Drosophila melanogaster: one gene and its partner. The protein of the gene in region 1 interacts with the protein of each later gene in a pairwise test. Each region holds a gene or a part of one and is shown in the gene's direction. Other genes may lie near its edges. The genes, in order: CG17134 and Or22a.

Region 1 (3,291 bases):
TCGATGGGCCAACTCAGGAGGACTCCCATCACTCGTCAGATCAACCAGAACAAGACCCATGCCAATGTGAAGGCGGAGAAGATCTTGCTGGCGGCCAAGTACTTTCTGGTGGACAGACAATCATCACAAACGACACAGGTGCTAGCCAACGGATTCAATCTGGAGTACACCATTCGCCTCTGCATCGGAACACCACCGCAGTGTTTTAATCTTCAGTTCGACACTGGATCATCCGACTTATGGGTGCCGAGTGTAAAGTGTTCAAGCACCAACGAAGCCTGCCAAAAGCACAATAAATACAACTCGAGTGCGTCCAGTTCCCACGTGGAGGATGGAAAAGGATTTAGCATACAGTACGGCTCAGGCAGCTTGTCTGGATTTTTGTCCACGGATACGGTGGACATCGATGGTATGGTAATCAGGAATCAGACATTCGCCGAGGCCATCGATGAACCAGGTTCAGCCTTTGTGAACACCATTTTTGATGGCATAATTGGAATGGCATTTGCGTCCATTTCCGGCGGAGTCACCACTCCCTTTGACAACATCATCCGGCAGGGATTGGTCAAACATCCGGTGTTCTCCGTCTACCTCAGGCGCGATGGTACCTCACAGTCTGGCGGAGAAGTCATCTGGGGTGGAATCGATCGGAGCATCTACAGGGGTTGCATCAACTACGTTCCAGTATCGATGCCTGCCTATTGGCAATTTACGGCTAATTCGGTGAAAATCGAGGGCATCCTTCTCTGCAACGGATGCCAGGCCATCGCCGATACTGGCACCTCGCTCATCGCCGTTCCCCTGCGAGCCTATAAAGCGATCAATAAAGTGTTGAATGCCACTGATGCCGGAGATGGAGAAGCATTTGTGGACTGCAGCAGTCTCTGTAGATTGCCGAATGTTAATCTAAATATCGGTGGCACTACCTACACACTAACGCCAAAGGATTACATCTACAAGGTCCAGGCGGATAACAATCAAACCCTGTGCCTATCCGGCTTCACATACTTGCAGGGTAATTTACTATGGATACTGGGAGACATTTTCCTTGGAAAGGTCTATACGGTTTTCGATGTGGGCAAGGAGAGAATTGGATTCGCAAAACTAAAGAAGCATTCAAGTTATAGGGTTTATGCCTCCAGTTATGTGAAAGAACCATCTAGCTACGGCATCGATTACCCATTCTACGGCGATGAATACTCCAGATTCTTTACTTGAGTCAATTATATTTCAACTCCAAACTAATCCACGTGCCTATTTGTTTCATCATAAACCTTATGGCTAAACACTTGTATTAAAGAAGATTTGTAAAACGAACAACAAATATTTGCCGAGTTCTTTAATCTCTACGACTGGAGTTGGCTTTGTTTCCAAGTCAGCTTAAGTATGCCAACAGAACTCGTGGACGTCATTAACTTCCAGAAATGGAAAATTTCGTGGCTATTTATGGATATTTGCAGTTAGACAATACAAAAAAAATGGGAGAGCAGACAGAAAAGTTATTTAAATTTCGAACCCATTTCAAATCTATTCACAGTCGAATTTCAGCCGCAGACATGAGACAGTTGTTAGTTTTATTGGTGCTTGTCGGGATTGGCCATTCCGCTGCCAAGTTGAATCGCGTCCAGCTCCAAGTGAACAAGAATTTCACCAAGACCCATGGCAGTGTTAAGGCCGAGAAGACCGTGCTGGCATCGAAGTACTCCTTTTTGGCGGAGACCTCTTTCAGTGTCAGTTCGTCGGGTGCCACCGAAAACCTGCACAATTCCATGAACAATGAGTACTACGGCGTGATTGCTATCGGAACGCCTGAGCAGAGATTCAACATTCTGTTCGACACGGGATCGGCCAATCTGTGGGTTCCAAGTGCAAGTTGCCCGGCTTCGAATACCGCGTGCCAGAGGCACAACAAATACGATTCTTCGGCATCCAGCACTTATGTGGCCAATGGTGAGGAGTTCGCCATCGAATACGGAACTGGTAGTCTGTCGGGTTTCCTGTCCAACGACATTGTGACCATAGCGGGAATCAGCATTCAGAATCAGACATTCGGCGAAGCACTCAGCGAGCCGGGTACAACCTTCGTGGATGCTCCTTTTGCTGGAATCCTGGGACTGGCCTTCAGCGCGATTGCCGTCGATGGAGTGACTCCGCCGTTCGACAACATGATCTCCCAGGGACTGCTCGATGAACCAGTTATCTCCTTCTATCTCAAGCGACAGGGAACCGCTGTGCGCGGTGGAGAACTGATCCTGGGCGGTATTGACTCGAGTCTCTATAGGGGAAGCCTCACCTATGTGCCCGTTTCCGTTCCTGCCTACTGGCAGTTCAAGGTGAACACCATCAAGACCAATGGCACTTTGCTGTGCAACGGATGCCAAGCCATCGCCGATACGGGCACCTCCTTAATCGCAGTTCCACTGGCCGCTTACAGGAAGATCAATCGCCAGCTGGGCGCCACCGATAATGACGGTGAGGCATTCGTGAGGTGCGGCCGAGTCTCATCCCTGCCCAAGGTCAACCTGAATATCGGTGGTACTGTCTTCACCCTGGCACCAAGGGATTATATAGTCAAGGTAACGCAGAATGGCCAAACCTACTGCATGTCCGCCTTCACCTACATGGAGGGACTAAGCTTCTGGATTCTGGGTGATGTCTTTATTGGCAAGTTCTACACGGTTTTCGACAAGGGCAACGAAAGGATTGGTTTCGCCAGGGTGGCGGATTATTAACATAACGTTGTTATCGAAAAGGAAATAACTAAGAGAAATACATGCAATACATAAAATCTAACTTGGAGTATTCCTGTGGGTAATAACTATCAGGTTTACTTGCTTACAATGTATGTAAGTAAGATTTAAGTAAATCACAAATCAGAGCGATAGTAAGCTGTGGTAATAGCACCCATCTGCATGCATCTTTATACTCACTTTGGATGGGTCAGCGGAACTTCCAGTATCAATTCGGGCGGGTAATCAAAGTAGTCCGGATCGTGACCATTGGCCGAGACCACCAATGGCAGTATGTCCCACTCGCTGCCCTTGCTCTTCCAGCCCAGCTTGGTGCAGACCTGATGGATGGAAGAGCGATGGGATTGGACATCAAACAAATGTGATTCGGAATCGAAAATCAGCATAAGGCCAGCGGGCAGGCGGTGGCGTATATAAAAGTGACATGTGTAAAAATAAATGGGGATACTTTGGGGCTCGGTTTTATATGCAAATACATTAATGTTGGCATGGGTATGTGGACTATGGATTGACTGAAACCATGGATCGCAGTGTGCCCAAC
Region 2 (4,144 bases), 9.3 Mb from region 1:
TCACAAGGAAAACTAATGTTTCTAGAAAGTATACGAAATACAAAATCATTAAGAGTACCTATTTAGCAAATTCATATTACGAAGTGTGGTGAAATAAGTTGCAGTTCATATCAGTAAGTTATAGGGCAAACTTAAGAAATTATAAAATTAAAGAATTTTAAAGAAGTTATAATAACAGACCGTGAAGGAAAAAGAAAAAGTGAATGTTTCCAGCATTGTCCTGCAGCAATTAAAAAAAATTGCATTCCCTCAAAGGATTGACTACTGCCAAAATCTGCATGGCCATGTGGAGCGGCCAAAGGTTTACGAGAAAATATAGTATGGAATTACACATATATTGATATAATTAGTTGAACTTACCCAAAACAAGCTAAAATAAATATGTTAAAGTACATTTATCGTGTATATGCATTACTTTAATAGCGATGTTCTCATATATATATTTTTCACCCTTAAACATTACCACTTAAAAAACTTAATCACTTAAATTCCAAAATATTTGCGTGCGTACCAATCCATTTGTCATCAGATCGCCGTCAATAAATTTATGTTATGTATACGTTGTTTGTAACCGGAATATGTTGTAAATTAGTCAAGCATATAATAGCTACTGTCGCCACAGTTTTAATTAGTTAGAGGAATAGCCAATTAAAACCAAAAATAATAGTAATAGTTCGGTTGTTTTCTTTTTTTGTACCATATTCTGTGGTGTTTCGGTCACAATTTAGACTAGACTTCAATGACCAACGATGAGAATCAGTCTGAATTCACACATATGGTATATTTTCCAGGAATCGTTGATTTAAAGATGAGTTTGTAAACTGTGTAACCTCTACTTAAGTTGACTTTTCAATGATTTAATTATAGCTTGTGAAACTCGCGATAACTTAAAAATTAAAAAATGCAAAAAAGCCCGTTTCGATCGTTTACACAAAAATATACCCATTAGGAATAAAATGCACGATCTGGAAGGATCATAATTTGCCAATACCCACCCATCTTTATAACTTAAATTGGATTGCGCACTGCAGACGCTGATTGAATTTTAAATTTCGTCTCTCTACCATGAGCCGGAAAAAAAAAATGTAAAATATTCCGATTAATTACCAGAACCGACAAAAGATTCTAGGGCGGGCACATGGACGGGTTGTCTCCGCCGAATGCATTTAATTTGCATGTTCACGAAGGTCCTTTTGTGTGCATTTGTATGTCTGGATGTCCGTCCTCAACGCCAATGAGTCAATATTATTACGGTCGACGCTTCACACTCTCCGTGAAATTGGCAAAAGGGAAAGCGGCCGCAAACGCTGGCAAAAATGCTTTCAATTAATTAAACACCCGAAAAGCAAGGCTATAATGAGAATGCAATGTGCTGTGCAAAGTGCTCTAAAGAGAGATGTTTGGTCGGGGAAACCCGCAGCGGGTCCCTCGATCAACTCAATCAACAATGATGCCAATTTACAGGACACTCGATGCACGTAGCGAAAGCTTAAATGATGTCCAAACTTTATATTATATCTTTGAAATTGTTTTAAAGTCATTTGGGATCTGTAAAGTTGTCTAAAGATTTGCTGTAATACATAAAATATATTTATAATATGATTGATACACGTTTAATCTCTTCTATTTAATTCATTGTGTGCCTTTCAAGGTCTTCAGCACATCATCATTTTTATACATTTTTAGAATATATTTCGGAAATTATAAATCAAATTTAAGCCGCATATTTTTCACGAGTGCAGTCTGCGGCATGCAGCTCATTAATAATACAGATAATGTGTTTGGCGGCAATCATTTTTCGGTTGCATGCCATCGCGGTGGCATTGATTAACACCGCCAATGGTCAACGCAATGTCAGACGAAAGGCAATGATATTGGGCGGGAAAAGGGGAATTCGGTTCAGTATGGTCGTATGAAGATGTATGGCGAATTAATGTATTTTTGGTAGTGTTTTACTCGGTAAATTGCTTGTTAAGTTCCTGATCGTTGAACGAGCATAATTCCATTCAGCTGAAATGTAACCTGCGGTCGATTAAATGTCATATGACATTTTCTACTGACATTCTTTAAAAACTTACAGCAAATACGAAACAGAACTAAAGCTCTTAAAACCGCCAAGTCATGTGAGACCATTTGCAACAGTGAGGCAGCCTATAAAAAGCACTGTTTCCCAGCTCAAGCAAATATTCAAACAAAGCCACGGACAAGATGTTAAGCAAGTTTTTTCCCCACATAAAAGAAAAGCCATTGAGCGAGCGGGTTAAGTCCCGAGATGCCTTCATTTACTTGGATCGGGTGATGTGGTCCTTTGGCTGGACAGAGCCTGAAAACAAAAGGTAATGAAATCAATGTAAGCACATATATAAGTATTAAAGCTACCATAATTTCCCGTAAAGGTGGATCCTTCCTTATAAACTGTGGTTAGCGTTCGTGAACATAGTAATGCTCATCCTTCTGCCGATCTCGATAAGCATCGAGTACCTCCACCGATTTAAAACCTTCTCGGCGGGGGAGTTCCTTAGTTCCCTCGAGATTGGAGTCAACATGTACGGAAGCTCTTTTAAGTGCGCCTTCACCTTGATTGGATTCAAGAAAAGACAGGAAGCTAAGGTTTTACTGGATCAGCTGGACAAGAGATGCCTTAGCGATAAGGAGAGGTCCACTGTTCATCGCTATGTCGCCATGGGAAACTTTTTCGATATTTTGTATCACATTTTTTACTCCACCTTCGTGGTAATGAACTTCCCGTATTTTCTGCTTGAGAGACGCCATGCTTGGCGCATGTACTTTCCATATATCGATTCCGACGAACAGTTTTACATCTCCAGCATCGCCGAGTGTTTTCTGATGACGGAGGCCATCTACATGGATCTCTGTACGGACGTGTGTCCCTTGATCTCCATGCTTATGGCTCGATGCCACATTAGCCTCCTGAAACAGCGACTGAGAAATCTCCGATCGAAGCCAGGAAGGACCGAAGATGAGTACTTGGAGGAGCTCACCGAGTGCATTCGGGATCATCGATTGCTATTGGAGTAAGGTGTTTCAAATGCTACAAGAACACTGTGTCGCAAAGACATAGTAAAATGAAATATTTGAAACAGTTTTCTTCTATTCCTTTCCTTTTTATTAATGGCCTTTTTTTATTTCTTAGCTATGTTGACGCATTGCGACCCGTCTTTTCGGGAACCATTTTTGTGCAGTTCCTCCTGATCGGTACTGTACTGGGTCTCTCAATGATAAATCTAATGTTCTTCTCGACATTTTGGACTGGTGTCGCCACTTGCCTTTTTATGTTCGACGTGTCCATGGAGACGTTCCCCTTTTGCTATTTGTGCAACATGATTATCGATGACTGCCAGGAAATGTCCAATTGCCTCTTTCAATCGGACTGGACCTCTGCCGATCGTCGCTACAAATCCACGTTGGTATACTTTCTTCACAATCTTCAGCAACCCATTACTCTCACGGCTGGTGGAGTGTTTCCTATTTCCATGCAAACAAATTTGGCTGTGGGTGTCAATATTTTAGATATATCATTGATTTTACACCTATTTTAAATTACTTTGTTATTATAGATGGTGAAGCTGGCATTTTCTGTGGTTACGGTAATTAAGCAATTTAACTTGGCCGAAAGGTTTCAATAAGTTGAGAGGGACGAGCTCTGCTACTATTATATTATATATTATATTATATTATATATATATTATTTTATATTATATATTGCTGTACCCTAATAAATATTTAGTAATATCACTGTTTTTCATATATATCAAACTTTGTGGCGCCCTCGGGTGGAAGAGTTTTGAAAGCCAGACAAACTGGAATACTGCAGTTTTTCGCAAAGGAAGGTGCATGGGTCGGATACACCACAACTGTCCACTTAATAAAATGCATTATTGCCAAATAACTAATGTAGTTACTTACAAAAAAAAAAACCGAAACATATAAAAGCTACAAAAACAAAATATGTGAGAGAATACAAGGGAAATGTATAATTCATACAAACTCTTTAAGAAGAGTTTCTTGGTTAATTGATCGATTTTAAACTTTTTTTTTTACTTATATTTTCCTTTTAGGTGTGAAGGTGTAGTTTGTAGGTGATTGTGGTCGAATGGAACCATACATTTGTTAACGTTTTCCC

What was found.
Region 2: the proteins of CG17134 (region 1) and Or22a interact in a two-hybrid assay, tested with the Drosophila melanogaster proteins (one large-scale study listed by BioGRID).

The regions. Positions count from the first base shown.
Region 1 is NT_033779.5:10,819,177-10,822,467, forward strand, and holds CG17134 (uncharacterized protein), read left to right. Parts: upstream 1-1,528; 5' UTR 1,529-1,556; coding exon 1,557-2,732; 3' UTR 2,733-2,791; downstream 2,792-3,291. Other genes in the region: Nos (nitric oxide synthase), read right to left, coding at 2,931-3,070; CG6508 (uncharacterized protein), read left to right, coding at 1-1,218.
Region 2 is NT_033779.5:1,518,405-1,522,548, forward strand, and holds Or22a (odorant receptor 22a), read left to right. Parts: upstream 1-2,086; 5' UTR 2,087-2,208; coding exon 2,209-2,336; intron 2,337-2,396; coding exon 2,397-3,035; intron 3,036-3,154; coding exon 3,155-3,512; intron 3,513-3,578; coding exon 3,579-3,647; 3' UTR 3,648-3,752; downstream 3,753-4,144. UniProt on the Drosophila melanogaster protein: Odorant receptor which mediates acceptance or avoidance behavior, depending on its substrates. The odorant receptor repertoire encodes a large collection of odor stimuli that vary widely in identity, intensity, and duration.